Linked DNA regions of Caenorhabditis elegans. The protein of the gene in region 1 interacts with the protein of each later gene in a pairwise test. Each region holds a gene or a part of one and is shown in the gene's direction. Other genes may lie near its edges.

Region 1 (5,177 bases):
AAGTTCGTTCCCCCTTTATCGTATTTCAATTTTCTTGTCTTCTTTCATAAATTCCCTTTTTAGATCTTTAAAAATTATACATATAAAGGTAAAGGAAGTATCCGATCAGAAAAATTCGATAATAGACCCCATTTCAATCTGGGGTGTGATTTTCCGTGTTCCAATCGGCTTTTTAGTACTTTTTGGAAATTTTCCTCCTTTCTCTAAAATAACGGTAGTACAGAATAAGGAAATTTTTTTTTAATCCAGAAGCGGCCAGCCAACTGTATAGGAATTTCAATTTTTTTTAATGTGCTGAACAATTTCGAAATCAAAAAGACCCTACTCTCCAGCTGATTACAATCATCTGATCGATGTCATATTTCTTTTCCCAAAAATAATTTGTCTTGTTTCTCTAATTACTCTTCTCTTATCATCACAATCTCTCACGTTTCTTCTGTCTCACCAATAAAAACGGGGGAATCCCCCTGCAGGTTCAAGTTGATATCATTAGAAACCTGTTTTTCACGCAGTCAATACTCTTTTTTTTCCCTCGATAAATTGATCATTTTCTCGGCTTTGGGCGTGGAAATATTTTCTGCAATAAGATGTGTTGAAAAGTCAGAAAAAAGAAAGTGTTCATCCCGCCCGTTGTCGTAGATCATTTGTTTTATGGCAATTTTCATCATCATTTTGTAACCGTCTTCTTCCTCCTCTTGCGCATCCAATCCACATATCACACAAAAATGTACAATACGAAAAATAGGTCGGTCTCTTCACATTTTCATCACCAAAAAAGTGTTTTTGCAGAGAAAAAAGTGGTGATAAATGTGGAACTTATAACTGTAAACACATTTAAACGAGGGCGGCGAAATTAGATATCAGACATATACGATACAAAAAAAATTAAAAAATCTGTGTGTATTTTGTTTGTAAAAAAATAAAATAATTGCGAGTGCATTTTTTTCAGATTTGAGGATAAATTTTAGAATTCATGGAATTGGAGCATTCGATAGGTCGAAAGGAAAGTATTTTGAGCATTCAATTCGTTATATCAGTTATCCGACTCAAAGCAATTTGTTCTACTTTAGAATTAACGCACTTTTTCGATTCTGAGAAATTTATTCAATTCGAGCTTCTTTCTGTAATCAGATTTTACCGCAATTTTTCAAATCTTTTTTGCTCTTCTTTTCCATATTAGCATTGTTCGTCTCAAAATTTTATTTTTGATTTCGAAGGCTAATTTCTTCTTTCCCAAAAATTCGTACTCATCTATGACCTTTTACAGTATCAAAGAAACATATATGCATTTAAAAATTATTGAAAAAAACTGTTTGAAAATCTCAAAATTTTGTCATTTTCAAACTTAAAACTCGAAGAACATTTGAAAAAAATACAGTATTCGCTTCAAATATAATCGTTTTCATGATCGGATTCTCTCAGAATTTCATCTTCAATCTGAAAATACTAGATTTAAGTGATTCCGTGGATCTTCTATTCTCGTTTCAAAGCTTCACACTCCTGCTTTTTTAGTTGTCCGATCTCTTGTTTCTTACCATATTCCGACATAAAAATCCCGCCGAAACCCATCAAACTTCTTCTTCTCGTATACGAATATAATATGTGTGGGTGCTCCGTTTTGTCGCACAAGTACCGTACCTCTGCTTCCTTACCGATATTCTTTTCTCCGAATCGACGACAAAATTTAATGATCGATTCGGAGGCGGAGGTCGAAGTGGTGGGAATAGAAGTGATAAAACATACGCACACCTCCCGATTTTGTCGATTCTTCGTGTATGTGTCTCCCCGGCAGTTTCATTCTTCTTCCGAGAGCATTATATTCGGAGGTGCTCCCTTTTTGACACGTCCCTCTAATTGTTTAAAAACCTCTTTGGATAATTTCCATGAAGTTTTATTAAAGTTTTAATTTTCAGACTGGGTGAACCCGCACGAAATCTGGATAAGTTTATAGGTAAGTTCGTAATCAATCCATCGAAATTTCAAACAACGTATCATTGAGTTCCAGAAGCAATGTTCCAGTCGGTATCGCCGCTGGCCGGTGTCGCTGCAGCGCCGAGCCAAATTGCCGCACTTCAACAGGTGAGATTTGATTTATTTTGGTAGTAGAAATCATCAGAAAATTCTAAAAATTCGGAAAATATCAAAATTACAGCAATAAATAAAAAATTGAAAGTAAAAATGTCATGTTGCCCAGTTAAAGGGGTATTAAAGTTTACAGTTTTGGTCAAATTAACTAAAACTCGCCCGAAACAACTGAATTTTTTCAATTTTTTCAATTTCATAACGAGACTTTTCAAAAAATTGCCGGTTTTTTTTTTGAGAATTTTCGTTATGAAATTGGTTCGTTTCAGGCCAGCTTTTGTATAGTTCGGCAAAAACTCAAAAAATCTACTCCCCCTTCGAAAAAACTTGACAATAAGTTTCCGATTTTCAAGAAAAAAACGGCGCATGGAGTAGTATTTTTAAAATTAAAACACCTAAAAATGAGAACTGAACTATTCGCTAAAAAGTCGCTGAAACCAGCGGCAAAATATTAAAAATCCCAAATCCCTACGGAAAAATTCAACAATGGGCTCTATTTTGGTCACTTCCAAAAAGTCGAATTTTTTTTTATCATTAGGCCCTTTTTTCCTTCCTTTCATATTATAAGAATATTCATTTTTAGATATGTATTTTGAGTTTTTTGCTTAAATATTCTCAGAAAAAACCGTTTCTCACAAAATTTCTCAAAATCATTTCTAATCGAATCAATCAATTTTCCCAGTCCCCCGAAGCACGAAAAATATTCACAAAAGCCTTTAGTTTTCTCCCATAACATTTCTCGTATTGTCGCTGGGACTCACTTTTCAGATATATAATGTTGAAAATAAACTTGCATCAATATTTCAAGAGAACATTTTCTAAATTTGTATTTCCCAAATAGTTCCTATTTTTGAATTCCTAGTTTTTTATTCATTAAAAAGTTACAAACTGGAAATTTTTCTAAGAATTTTTCAAATTTCAATATTTTGGGCAATTTTAAATTTTATAAACTATAATTATTAGTTATTTGAACTATATTAGAATCTAAAATAATTTAAAATAGACAAAAAAGGCGTACGGAGATGACCTGTAATTTCCCAACGTCTGCATTTATTGATTGTCACCCCATTGTGTTCGAGTTCAAAAATTCGATATTTTTATCAACTTTTGATTTATTTTATTTCAGATACAAGCGTTGATGACATTTCAAATGCAGCAGAATAATTTATTTCCCAAAATTGACACTATATCGGTTAGTTTTCACTAATAAATTCTTATATTTTAAAATGTTATAATATCAATTTCAGAAATCGCCAACTCCAGAACTCGCATCTCCATCGGCAAAACGAATGAGACTTTCTCCCAGTACGAGTAGCCACAGTGATGTCGCATCAACTTCGAAAGGAACAAATGGGCAAGATCAGTCGAAAAATTCGCCGACAAATTGTGAGTTTTGGAAATTTTCAAAATTAAAAAATATGTAAACTTTCAAAATTCATGTTCTAGACCATTTTTTCCCCCCAAAAAAAAGTCGTATCAGATACATTTTTCTGATTTTCCCTTGCAAATGTGTTCTTCCAACTGAAATTTCCCTCAAAATTTTTCCCTTTCCCTTGTTATTTGGGAAACTGAAAACCGCCGAATGGTGAGAGTGTGAGCGCGCGTGTGCTTCTGTTAGCTGCATCGACTGGTGGCTAATTCATAAGCCCACTCTCTTTTCCCGTCGAATTTTCCCACGTCGATCGATAATTTGAGCAGTGCCGACGGCTCAGCTCAGCTCTCCCTAGACTTCTTGTGTGGAGCTCTACGATTTCTTGATTTTCTAATGATTTCTCTCTCGAAGCACGAAAAATTCGAGAATCGCTTGATGGGGAACTTGTTTTCATTATGATTTGGAAATCAACGGAAAACAAAAAGGAAGAGACCGACACAGTTCTGTGAAATAAATATAGAAGTGAATAAAAATATGCATAGTTGTCCATATTCATGTGGGAACTTTTGGTGCTCATCTCTATTTGACAAGAGACCACAAGGAATCGAGTTACGCAGATGGTTCACTTCACACGAATAATGATAGAATGAAATAGATCAAAGACAGAGAGCTATCAAGGAAAAGTACTGTACCTGGTCGACAGGTGCCTGGAGGTACCATCATGCTCTTTGAATTGAGCACACAGTGGACAATGGCCGTAGTGCAATTTAAATGAGGTGTATTAGTCAATAGAGAAGATAGTAAGAAGTTCCCTTTGTAGGTTGACTCGACAGATATGATTTAATTCGGATGTCTCCAAGAATCCAGAAATTCCGATTTTCCATATATCTGAATGTGCACTCTTCCCTATCAGTCATCCCCCGAGAATTTTCCCCAACCAACCAACCCATCGATTTTCACACGAAGATTCACACTCATGAATCACTTGAGATCCTCTTGTCTTATCGTTATCCCATAACTTTCTTGACTCTTCTCGTGTGATGAGAGGCACCACCACCACGACGGAACGCAACAAAGAGATCACCTGTGTATACACATGGTACATCGGGAAGGCAACAAGTGAGGATTAAGATTTAATGTAAATGAGTGAAAGTGAATGAAAGCGACCGTTACTATATTAGGATGGTTCAATTTTGAACGTCTTTGTTTCCAGATGCCACTCAATTAGCGTTCACCTATTCAGTCATGAAATATCCGAAGAGCTCAACGCTCTCTCTCTCTGATTGGATACTCTGACTCCGCCCATCTACCAGTTTGTCTTTCTGTGTGCTTTTCCATCAGAAAAAGCTATAGACTATATGAAGAAGAGAAAGAATGTTTTCGTGGAGGCGTGGCGATTGTGAGTCGCAGAAGGAAGAAAACCGAAGTGAGGAAAGGAAAGGAGAGGAGACTATTCGTTTTCCCACCCGCTCTCCTTTTCATTGTGTGCTCTTCTTGCTGACAGACGGCTTCGTTCTTCACAAACCCACAGCCAGCCCCACCGTCGGTTTTTCCCCCACAATATTCAGCTTCTACTATTCTCGGTGGGAATCTTCGCATCGGATATCCCACGACGAGAGCGGCTTCTGCACCGCGAAGACCCCCCTTCAAGACTCGACTTTCACGCGCCACCCATCCACATCGGTCCCATCGTCGCCCTCAACGCCAAGACACTCCGGGATGG
Region 2 (4,457 bases), 450 kb from region 1:
ACTGAATTGAAATATATCCACAGCTCCAGTTACAGTAAGATCTGTTATGTTGTGTTGTGGAAGAGATTCTATGAATAAAATTCGAATTTCTGCAAAATTGGTATCTTGAAAAAAGAGCATTGCAATTAATTGTATAAATGATGGAATGTAGATGAGAAATATGAGAACTTGAAGAATACATCGGGAGATCTCTTGATGTTTCATCACATAAAAACGGTATGCAAAAGATAGAAAAATGAGACAAAGAGCATGAGTGTGGAAATGTAGAAGGGCTCCGAATCTGGAAAAAGTTTTTTTGGAGATTTAAAAAATTGGAGTATTCTGTCATTGAAACCTATGCAAGAAAAAAGTTTGATTCAGGCGCATAAGAGAGCCTATAAGTGGGTGGAGACTGTTTTTTTAAACTATCTTTGTTGGGGAAACCTTTTTTTTATTAATTTCGATGGATTTAATTTGCTAAAATATGTGGAAAAATATATACTATAATGGAAAAATATTTCAAACTGCTTTTAGTTAAATTTTTCAAAAACTTTTTGGAACTAATTTTTAATTGATGTCCTAGGCTTCAGCAATCGTAATTTTGGATGTTTACCAAAAATAAATTTTTCTTTGAGTTTTCGAAATTATTAATTAATTTTATAAATTCTAAAATTTCAAACCTGCAGAGATCCATGAAATTTCTCAAAAAGGGAAAAGTTTCGCAAAAAAAATTTGGCAATTTGCCGAAACTCTGACTGAAATTTTTAAACACTCTATACATTTCTTAAGTGTATGTTTAGATTTTAATTTTTTTCATCGATTTAAAGGATTTTTAAAAATTCCTTTTGACAATGATCCATTTTTATTGTTTTTCTATAGTTCAAGACTTAATTTTTTTTAAATTTAGCCCTCTCCCATTTAAAAAATTTTTCATCTTACTAAACCCGTCCAAACCTCGTTTAAATAATGTTAAGATAAATATAAAAATAGGGCAGTAACAATTTGATCTACCTACATATAATTGTTTTTCAAATTTCTTCTGTTTCAAAAACTTCTTGAAACGGGAACATTTTTCCATTGACATTCATTTTTTTTTCCACGTCAAACTCACATATCAAAACAAAACTGTTCTCCTAAATTTGAGCAAATTCCATAGGAAATATAAAATAATTGTTTCCCAGCTGGAATAACTCGTTGTCCAATCAGAAATCCACTAAGACATGCTCCAAAATTAGTGAATGCCATGTTAATAATGACAATTGAGAATGTTCTTATAATAGACGGACTATGAAATATTGCCACGTGGAGGAGGAATAAATTAACACAATATCCTGAAACAGTCACCAACGAGTTGATAATCAGGAAAATTGCGGATAACATTTTTTCTGCGAAATGTTTTCTTGCTCAGCTTGTGGCTTTTATAAAACTTTTTGCTTGCAGTAGCAAGTATTCATGAATATTCTTCTGGAAGATTTAAGGGTCATTGATGAGGTTCAGTATTTTGTAGTATACATTCTAGACTACACCAGATTGATGATATGTTTCTGGAATTGAGCAAAAACCTTTGAACTGGAATGCCAACTTCTCTAAAAGGGATCCACAATGCAACAAGCTGGATAACCAGTCTTTAGGACATTTAAAACTTAAATATCTTATTCCGCCATAATCATTTTTAATACATTTCTCCTATTTATTTGTTCTTCTATGAAATCAAGTCTTCCAATTGTAGTACATCCGCTTGGTGTCGGTTTACGGTAAACAACGCGCACCAACGGAAAGTTGGAGTGTCGTTGTTAGAATAACAACAGATATTTTCTCATTTCAAATTTCAGATTTTTTTTAGTTTTTGTTGGTTTCAATCGATTTAAAAAAATTATAATCTGAGAATTACTTAATTTGTTTCAATTCTTCATGTAAAATCATCTCATTATCATTTTTCATGCCCTTATCGTCTTATTGATTGTATTTCTTAATAATATTAGCAAGGTAATGCTTTTTTCAGACGATGGAAGTTGATAACGTCAAGCCATCCAGCTCAGTTCCGCAGAGAAACTGGGAAAAAGAAAATAACGTCAGTTTTTCTTAAATATTTTTAGATTTTTAATATTATTTGTGTTTCAGGTCCAAAATGTCGATTCGATTTTCGAGTACAACAACAAGCAGCAAGTAGAAATCAGAAATGCAAAACCATGGGATAAAGATCCACATTATTTCAAACAAATCAAAATATCTGCAATTGCTCTTCTGAAAATGACAATGCACGCGAAAAGAGGTGGAAATCTGGAAATTATGGGACTTTTGCAAGGTCGAATCGATGCTAATTCTTTCATTATTCTTGATGTATTCGCTCTTCCAGTTGAGGGTACTGAGACCAGGTGAAATGATTTACGCTGGGAGTAATTTCGAACATTTTAAATTTCCAGAGTCAATGCCCAAGCTCAAGCCTACGAGTACATGACAGTTTATTCTGAAATGTGCGATACGGAAGGTCGAAAGGAGAAAGTCGTCGGATGGTATCATTCTCATCCTGGATATGGATGCTGGCTATCCGGAATCGACGTCTCAACGCAGACACTCAATCAAAAGTTCCAAGAGCCATGGGTTGCTATTGTTATTGATCCATTGAGAACTATGTCTGCCGGAAAGGTTGACATTGGCGCATTCCGTACATATCCAGAAGGATACCGTCCACCAGATGATGTTCCATCAGAGTATCAGTCGATTCCTCTCGCAAAGATTGAGGATTTCGGTGTACATTGCAAACGATACTACTCGCTTGACGTCAGCTTCTTCAAATCACAACTTGGTAGGTGAAATTTATATTTATCGGGAATGAATTACATAATAAAAATACGATAAAGGACAATCAACTGTAAAATCCAATATTCAAAGCTTTGTTTTTTGGATTGTTTAAACTTATTGGAATCGAATAGCTTGAAATTTTAAACTTTTAAAATAAGAATAATAATATTAAACATCTCAACGGGAAATTGGTCTCAATTGAAAAAGAAACATCTCCGATTCTTTCCCGTTTTAATAATTAAAATTCCAGACGCTCACATCTTGACTTCTCTGTGGAACAGCTATTGGATTTCCACTCTCAGCAGTTCTCCACTCTTCTCAAACGTCGAATTCCTCAACAATCAAATTCAAGACATCAATCAGAAGCTGTCGGCCGTCGATAAGAAGCTCCAATTGAATGACAGAAGTGTCGATGGACATGAAGCTTTGATGAAAGTCGTGACCGATGCAAAGGCAGTCGGAGATGAACTTGAAACTGGAAGAATCTCTCATCTCGTGAAACAACTATTGTTTGCTCGCCAAGCTGGTGGTGGCTGTGGATGTTCCCATGCTTCTGCAGGATCTCCAATGGATATCGCCGTGGCAACTGAACCCGAGAAGGCTGGTCCTTCTCCATCTGCTCCGGAGCCCGCTGTTGAGATGGCCGATGCTTAATTCTCGTTTTGTCTATATTTATAAATCAAGTCCCCCTGTTTTCTGTGTTAAATTCACCAACATCATTTTATTTGAATGAAATTTTTGCTTTTCAATGATTGATTTTTTCAAATTTATTTCCATAAATGAGAGATTCAAACGATATATGGACATATATGAAAATGTACAAGAGTAACTGGGAAGGGGAAGTCTGGGGATGGAGGAGGGATACAAGTTCCAAAAATACAAGAAAAAGAATAGATCTGAGAAATTTGAGAAAAATTGAAAATGACAAAAAAGAAGAGGAAATTGATACGATATTACGAGAGATTTGAGGATATAATAGAAATAACTGTAAAGATCATATTTTTCAGGTGTATGGGGGTGAACAGGATGGGGGGGTCGTGTGGTGCACGTATTCTTTCGTCACGAGACCCGTTTCTATCTATTTGTATGATGATTCGGAGATGTAGTCTGAGCTCCGGGCTCAAATGAAAAACTAGGATACTAATGAGAGGCGACAAGGGGATGGGGATCAGATAATAAATTATCAAACTGGGTATGATGAAGAGATGATAAAACTGTTGCAAGATAGGGGTTGCTCACTTTGTGGGGATTGAAGTGGGTGAGGTATTTCACTGGGAAATCAAAGAATCCGAAGGGAGGAAAGAGTAGATCAAAATGAAATGAGACACGGCAAAGAAGAAAAAAACGATTATTGTGGCGGAATTAATTATCTTTAATTATGTGGCTTTAATAAGGTTTCGACCGAGATTTTATGTGATAAAAGAGGGCTTCTCAGATGTAATGGGACATCTTGTCGTGACGATCCGTGCGTCTTTGACGGCAAGTGCGGGCAGCAACCTTGTTCTTTCCTGAAATTACAAAAAAAATCATTTCGATCCTGTCATCAATAATGATGCTTACCGCGTCGACGAATCTTGCGAATCAACTGTCTTTGATACTCGCTGAGACTCTCGTTCTTCAACACTTGTTGCAACTCGCTTAATGACATCTCCGAAATCTGGAACGCCGACACTGGA
Region 3 (8,141 bases), on another chromosome or scaffold:
CACATGACCTTATAGTTTATCTTCCGAATGCTGAATGTTTTTTCTTCAGTACAAATGTTTTGAATACCTAGGTAACCTCGAGTATGAGAAACAACATTAACAATGTTTTGGGAGAAACATGTAGTTTTGTACGTCCGGTCCAGTGAGAGTTTTCAACTTATTTTGGAAGAAATTTTTTTTTGACAAAATTTTGCAATTTCCCACGCAGAAATACGGTATGCCCCGTATCTCGCCACGAACATAATATTTTAAATTGACGGAAAGGTGTGCGCCTTTAAGAAGCACAGTAACCATTTTCCGGTTTTTTTTTTGAAATTGCCTTTGATTTTTACTTTTTTCTCCCAAAAACGAGAAATTTAATATAATCCATCAAAATCTTTGTGAACGAGAGAAATATAGTGAAAAACTCAAAGAAAATTGCGAAATGGATTACTGTACTCCATAAAGGCGCACATCTTTTCGAAAAATCGTGAAAAATTGCATCTGACCAACAGTTTTGCGTGGAATCTTCCTAGATTCAAATTTCCTATGAGTCATAAAACTATCATTTTATCGGACAATAACTACACGTGTACCTTGTTTCCATATGTTCTACCAATATAATTTGTGTTCATATGTGGCCAGGTACGGGAAATTAGAACACGGACTGATTTAGGAAGGTTCAAATTCGAGAACAATGGACGACTTGCTGCACGAAAACGTGGATTATTCTGAAACCGCCTATGTGATCACTATCGATTTAGCACTTCGGTTTTCTTTTTCCGTTTTCCTTTATATTCCGTATTGTATGCCGACAATAACGCTTTTTCTTTGTATAAACATTTCCAGAAGCAGAGCAAATTTGTTTATTCCAGAATTGACTGAATATTGAAATAATGTTTACAGACATACTGTAGATTTTTTTCTATTCAAACATGAATACAGTTTTTCGTATTTTTAATCTTCAGATAAGTTTTGTGTGTGTTTTTGAGAATAATATTTAAAAAAGATAAGCAAATATCAGAACTACGGTAAGCGAAGGGGTACGGTCGTCAATTGCGGACTTCCGAGCTGTGCACGGCGCCAAAATTTATTTTGAGTTTTAAAATGATTTTCTTTGTTTTTTTTTCTTTTTTTGACACGATAAGAACATTTTTCTGTATTTCTAATATTTTAAATGAGATCGTAATAAGTTTATTTAGCTCCATCACATTATTTTCGGAATATTCATCGCTTGAAAACGGCGTAAAATAGGTTCCAAGTAAATCATTGCAAACAAATCTCCGTTTATCGTTCTAACAAAGTTTTTCGTTCACTTTCTTATGTAAATCGTTTTCCCCACTTCTTCTTCACGGGAATGATCAATTGAAAGGCCATAAATTGGTTGTTTTCTCCACATTTCGCAACCAACATGCAGCTGTCGGATAGGCAATAAAATAATGTAATCAATGAGTTTTCCGATTTATCCTAACAGTTCTTTTTCTAGTGTTCCTATTCGAAAAAAGTACTGTTATCCTTCTTTTTGGACCGCCCATCTCAGGTGTCAAGACAATCGCAACACACTCAGAAAATGGGCGGAGTATGCCACCCGGCCTTCATTCGTCGCTCCTTGTCTTCTCCATTTTCGTTTTTTTCCTGTTCTCCGTTCTTTTTTTGTACTTTTGTGATAATGCTGAAGTGTTCTTTTTTTTCGCTTAACCGCATCTCTTGATTTAATTCATATTTTCTTTCAGATTCATGTACAATAACACCAAGAGCTGCTCTAACAACTAATAATAACAGAATCTCGAACAGCGAACACAACAATGCGAGTTCTTCTAATTTTACTCGCGTTTTTTGCGCCAATCGCCAGTCAACTTATGGGTGGAGAATGCGGAAGGGAAGGTGCTTGCTCCGTCAATGGAAAATGCTATAATGGAAAACTGATTGAGACATACTGGTGCCGGTAAGCATATATTTCATTCTCCCATGTCAATGTTATTCATCCGCTTTCTCATGAACCGTGACGAAAAGAACAAAAAAAAGAAAGTTTGGGCAGGTGGTGGTGGTGGGAAACAGGCGATAGATAAACAAAAGCTTGGTGTAGAGAACATTTTGAATAATATCCGAAAGTTGAATTATCACTGTCCATATTTCCCTCTAAGACATCATTAAACGCCACCCGGCTTGCAGAATGGGAACACAATGAACAGCAGGAGGCTGTCACAATGTAAAATCTCGTAAATCGTTCGGGAAATCTAAAAAATTGTTATTTAGTTTTCCCTTTTCTCTACAAACAATTCATTTTTCTTATCAATAACTTTGAGTTCCAAAGGCAAAATTTACAGCCGTTTACAGCCATCTTCCCAGGGTTGTCGGCGAATTTATATGGACGTTCATAAAACAATTGGATTAGCGTGTCGGTTCTTTAATCTTGTCTTTTCTTATTACTATCTAGCTCGTTTGATTAGTTATACAGAGAGTATCAACGTATTTATCGATAGGAAAATTGCGCCATGATGCTCTAAAATACATAAAATCGCTCGATTTATCTGAAAATAACACTTATTTCAGCTTAAAAATGTGAGAAAATGGTCCAAAATTGTCTGAAAGTTGTTGAGTGAATTATCGAGATTTGTTTTCTGATCACTTTCACGAATATATCAGCTGAAAAATTGTTATTTTCAAGTAAATCGATATATTTTGCCACGATTTTTGATTAAAAATACTGTAATTTATTGATTGTCACCCACCACTGGCCCACAGTCATAAATTGTCTCAATTGAATTACTTTTCAGTTTAAAAATAATTTAATCAAATTTACAGTTGCAAAAAAGGATTCGGAGGTGCTTTCTGTGAACGTGAATGCGATTTGGATTGTAAACGAGGCGAGAAGTGCATCTACGATGTTTATGGTGAAAATCCGACGTGTATCTGTCAAGGTAATTTTGTGAATCCTAAAATCTGTTAAATATCATAATATTTTGCCCGAAACGACCTATTTTCATAATGGGACTTCTCAAATCTTTAAATCAAATTATCGCCTTTTTGCATAGTTTGATAAATACTTTATCTCGATTCAAGTGTATTCTAATCAATCATTTTAAGATTTTAAACGTTTCAAATTCAAAATTTTGTTCCATGTTTTACTTCCACCTTTTTCTTCATCTGCCCTTTTTCATAGCGGCAATCTTTTTCACCACATCATCCATCATCACACTGCGAGTGTATTTTTCTTTGATTGTGCCCGACTTGTACGCAATTTTTTGTTTCAGGATATATCAAAATTTCGAAAACTTATTAGGGAAAACACGCGACCATACGTATAATAATTCTCCCGGGAGATCCCAACATTGACAAATTGTACCGCATTCGTGGTATCCTATTTTTCATTTCTACGCTCTCAAAATGACCGCTAGTGATAGATAGCTTCTACTAGGTCATATTCGCACATCTTCATCGCCTTTGTCATGCGATTTATTGCAAATGTTCGGTTTCATTGCGCGGGGGCAGTAGTATAAATCAAGCAGATGTTGTTACACAGACAGCCATGAGAAAATATTTATAAGTTTTATTATTCAGATTGCGAAGACGAGACTCCTCCAACAGAACGTACTCAAAAAGGCTGTGAAGAAGGCTATGGAGGTGAGTAAAGTTTGGATAATGTATGATTACTAATAGTCAATGACTTTGTATCACAATTATTGTTGTTTTGAGCAACAATTGACAGCTATTTTAATTTTTAAAAAGTTGCAAAATTGTTTTTTTTTCAATTTTATATTTTTCGAAAACACAAAGGACCAATGAAATTATCAGATTTTAAAAAATATAGTAAAAAATAAATTAAATATATTTAATTTAATTTAACATATTCTAATAAGAAATGCGCGAGATCCAAGTCTCCCACTGTGATAACTTTTTCCATCTGTTGTCGGAACCGATTTGATCTCAAATAAATCAAAATATTGCGTGTTCTTTTTCTCTATTTTACCGTAATGAGATTGACACCTTTCTCATCTCAAAGGAAATAATCGGCGGTTGGGGGTAATGAGGTGTGAATGGCTATTAGGAAAAACAAACTTCCGCCGGAATTTGAATTTAAATTCCACTTTTTTTAAAAAGAAGACAAAGGCCTATCCGTGATTAATACATTAATATTTTCAGGTCCTGACTGCAAAACTCCTCTATTTTCGGGAGTAAATCCATGCGATTCGGATCCTTGCAACAACGGACTCTGCTATCCATTCTATGGTGGATTTCAGTGCATATGCAACAATGGATATGGAGGATCGTATTGTGAAGAAGGAATCGATCATTGTGCTCAAAATGAATGCGCAGAAGGTTCAACGTGTGTCAATAGTGTATACAACTATTACTGTGATTGCCCAATTGGAAAATCCGGTCGATATTGTGAACGAACTGAATGTGCTTTGATGGGAAACATTTGCAATCATGGAAGATGTATTCCGAACAGAGATGAAGACAAGAACTTCAGATGTGTATGCGACTCGGGATACGAGGGAGAATTTTGCAATAAGGATAAAAACGAATGCCTCATCGAAGAAACGTGTGTTAACAACTCTACATGTTTCAATTTGCACGGTGATTTTACTTGTACCTGTAAACCTGGATACGCTGGAAAGTATTGCGAGGAGGCTATCGACATGTGCAAGGATTACGTTTGCCAAAATGATGGATACTGTGCCCATGACTCGAATCAGATGCCAATTTGTTATTGCGAACAAGGATTCACTGGACAACGATGTGAGATTGAGTGTCCTTCAGGATTCGGGGGAATTCATTGTGATCTTCCACTACAGAGACCACACTGCTCTCGGAGCAATGGAACGTGTTACAACGATGGAAGATGTATAAATGGTTTCTGTGTCTGTGAACCTGATTATATTGGAGATCGATGTGAGATTAATAGGAAAGATTTCAAGTTCCCAGATATTCAGTCATGCAAATACAATCCGTGTGTGAATAATGCGACTTGTATCGATCTCAAAAACAGTGGATATTCATGTCATTGTCCGCTTGGATTCTATGGATTGAACTGCGAGCAACATTTGTGTAAGTTCGAAAATTTTATTTTTATATACGACAAACGCGCCTTTAAAGAGTACTGTAGTTTCAAACGGTGAAATTTTCATCAATTTTTCAGCTTTTTAACATCAAATCTACATAGACTACACAGACTTAAATTTTGAAAAATCAATGGCAATCCCGGAGCAAGGAGAGTTTTTAAACTACAGTACTCTTTAGGAGCGCACATTTTTTCGCATTTAACAAAATTTTTGTCGTGGCGAGACCTGATACCGTATTTTTAGCTCAAGATTACTAGGCAGCATTCTTAATATCAACAAACTTCAGTGTGCACTCCAACTACATGTGCTAACGGAGGTACTTGTGAAGGTGTGAATGGCGTTATCAGATGTAACTGCCCCAACGGATTCTCTGGAGATTACTGCGAAATAAAGGATAGACAGTTATGCTCCAGACATCCATGCAAGAACGGAGGAGTTTGTAAGAATACTGGATATTGCGAATGCCAATATGGATACACTGGACCCACTTGTGAAGAAGTTCTAGTTATCGAGAAATCAAAAGAGACGTTAGTTTTCTTGGATACTATAAAGAATGCAGCCCAGAAAAATAATTTATTGAAGTAAAAAGCGGTTTCAATGAAATAAATACCTAATTTTAGCTCAAATCTCTAATTTTGCCAGCTTCGGTTTGTGTGACACGGGGAAGGTGTTAAATAAAATTTCTTTAGCTAAAATAAGGCTGTCTTTTTCCAAGATTTGAACTGCCATGATTTATTTGGAATTATTTTTTTGAGCCACTTGGAGTATAATGACGATGAAGATAAAATTCCTTCAAAATTTGTATTCAAGGTATTAAATGTGAACATTTCAGTGTCATTCGTGATCTATGCGAGCAACGAAAGTGTATGGATCTTGCTTCCAATGGTATTTGCAACCCGGAATGCAATTTGGAAGAATGTAATTTTGATGGAGGTGATTGCTCAGGAGGGCAAAGACCATTCTCCAAATGTCAATACCCTGCAAGATGTGCTGATCAATTCGCAAATGGAGTCTGTAATCAGGAATGCAATAATGAAGAATGTCTTTACGATGGATTGGACTGTCAATCAGAGTTATTTCGATGCCCAGCTCATATTCGGAAACATTGTATTGAAAGACGAGGCGATGGAGTTTGTAATTTAGAATGCAGTTTCATTGGATGTGGTTTTGACGGTGGAGATTGCAATAACGGAACAGAAGCAATAATCCTCAGTGATATTCGTATAAAAGTTCAAATTGATCCTATTGAATTCCAAGCTACCGGAGGAGAAACACTAATGCAAATCAGTGCAAATCTTCGAGCAACCGTACGTATTCAACGGGATGAACTTGGACCTCTTGTATTCAGATGGGATGGTGAACATGAAATGGAAAGAGTTGAGATGAATAGTAGCAAGCTCGAAGATCAATTTGTACTTTCGCATCACGTTCGCAGGTATCGGCAAGCTGTTGTCACTGGAATTGTCTTGTATTTGGAAGTCGAAGAAATATGTAAACCCGAGTTTTGCCGATTTTCAACAGCGCAAAGTGTCGTTGATTTGATTGCTGCTGGACTTGTGAAGTCTGATGTAAGTTATTTTTATGTGGAGTACGGCACCGGGCTGGAAACAAAATAATTTGGACCGAAATAACAAAAAAAATTAAATTTGTGAAAAATCCAAAAAGGTAGATTTCCGGTTCACTTTTCACTTTTTAGAAGAAAATCATCCGCGTTTTGCTAAAAATATTTGTAAAACATAAAAAAATGTTTGAAGTACAGAAAATTAGTTTTTGAATCCAAAACCAAAAAAACAATTTTTCGTCAAAATATCAAAAAGTCCCAGCACTGGTGGGGCTTAAAATCTATTTTTATGGTGATAAAATGACCAAATATAATTTTTAAAAATTAGAAAAATTTTATAGTATATTTCGAGCCAAAAAGCGGTGAACCTTTAATTGTTTGAGTTATGGAAAATAATAATTAAAACATTTTCAGGGTCGTATGTCTCTGGGTCTCCCAATTACGGAAGCAATGGTAGCTGTTCCAAAGAGAAACGAAATCGATGAAGGATGGTCTCGCAGTCAAGTTATTCTGTTTGCATGTATTGCATTTTTGGCTTTTGGAACTGTTGTCGCTGGTGTTATCGCAAAGAATGGTCCAGAAAGAAGTAGAAAAAGAAAAATGGTGAACGCAACAGTCTGGATGCCTCCGATGGAATCAACGAACGAGAAAGGTCGTCGGAATCAGTCAAATCATTCGAGTCAGTGCTCTCTTCTTGACAATTCTGCCTACTATCACCCCAATACCAAGAGACACTGTAGCGATTATAGTACCGGCTACAATGGAGAACAATATTCACAGATTTATCCACAAACTCTCGCAAATGGATATCCCGGTGATTACAACGAATTGAACTTTGACTTTCAATCTGAGACGTTCGCACCAGCTGATCTACCAGCCGACGAAATGTGAGTGAATCTTTATAGTTTTATTATAATTATTGTTATGTTTCTTTCAGCCCTCTCCATGTTCAAGCTGCAGGACCAGATGCGATTACAGCTCCAATCACAAATGAGTCAGTCAATCAAGTGGATTCAAAGTATAGACGACGAGTTCTGCACTGGCTTGCTGCCAATGTCAGAGGAAAACCGGAAGATGTCATTACAACAGAGGCAATTCGATGCTTGAAGGCTGGAGCCGATGTGAATGCAAGAGATTGTGATGAGAATACTGCTCTGATGCTAGCTGTTCGTGCACACCGTGTCAGACTTTCCGTAGTGCTTCTTCGTGAAGGAGCTAATCCAACAATATTCAATAATTCGGAGCGAAGTGCCCTTCATGAGGCTGTTGTCAACAAGGATCTGCGTATTCTGCGGCATCTTCTCACTGATAAACGTCTTCTCAAAGAAATTGATGAATTGGACCGGAATGGTATGACTGCATTGATGCTAGTAGCACGTGAACTCGGAAAACATCAAGTGGAGATGGCAGAGCTTCTTCTTTCAAAAGGAGCAAAACTTGATTACGATGGTGCTGCTAGAAAAGATTCCAACAAGTATAAAGGACGAACAGCTCTTCATTACGCAGCGATGCACGATAACGAGGAAATGGTAATA

Evidence for each region. The genes of interacting proteins can lie anywhere in the genome.
Region 2: the proteins of lag-1 (region 1) and csn-5 interact in a two-hybrid assay, tested with the Caenorhabditis elegans proteins (3 studies listed by BioGRID).
Region 3: the proteins of lag-1 (region 1) and glp-1 interact in a two-hybrid assay, tested with the Caenorhabditis elegans proteins (4 studies listed by BioGRID).

Annotation. Positions count from the first base shown.
Region 1 is NC_003282.8:6,099,509-6,104,685, forward strand, and holds the start of lag-1 (Suppressor of hairless protein homolog), read left to right. Parts: upstream 1-2,079; intron 2,080-3,208; coding exon of another isoform or gene 3,209-3,274; intron 3,275-3,329; coding exon of another isoform or gene 3,330-3,468; 5' UTR 3,469-4,828; coding exon 4,829-5,177. UniProt on the Caenorhabditis elegans protein: Transcriptional regulator that plays a central role in lin-12/Notch and glp-1/Notch signaling pathways, involved in cell-cell communication that regulate a broad spectrum of cell-fate determinations.
Region 2 is NC_003282.8:5,647,552-5,652,008, forward strand, and holds csn-5 (COP9 signalosome complex subunit 5), read left to right. Parts: upstream 1-1,981; 5' UTR 1,982-1,984; coding exon 1,985-2,050; intron 2,051-2,100; coding exon 2,101-2,354; intron 2,355-2,402; coding exon 2,403-2,785; intron 2,786-3,031; coding exon 3,032-3,435; 3' UTR 3,436-3,528; downstream 3,529-4,457. Other genes in the region: skn-1 (Protein skinhead-1), read right to left, coding at 4,213-4,289, 4,342-4,457. UniProt on the Caenorhabditis elegans protein: Probable protease subunit of the COP9 signalosome complex (CSN), a complex involved in various cellular and developmental processes.
Region 3 is NC_003281.10:9,090,529-9,098,669, forward strand, and holds the start of glp-1 (glp-1/Notch intracellular domain), read left to right. Parts: upstream 1-1,712; 5' UTR 1,713-1,784; coding exon 1,785-1,924; intron 1,925-2,784; coding exon 2,785-2,900; intron 2,901-3,540; coding exon 3,541-3,603; intron 3,604-4,122; coding exon 4,123-5,031; intron 5,032-5,331; coding exon 5,332-5,572; intron 5,573-5,877; coding exon 5,878-6,613; intron 6,614-7,020; coding exon 7,021-7,493; intron 7,494-7,543; coding exon 7,544-8,141. UniProt on the Caenorhabditis elegans protein: Essential signaling protein which has a major role in germline and embryonic development; involved in cell fate decisions that require cell-cell interactions. Probable membrane-bound receptor for putative ligands lag-2 and apx-1.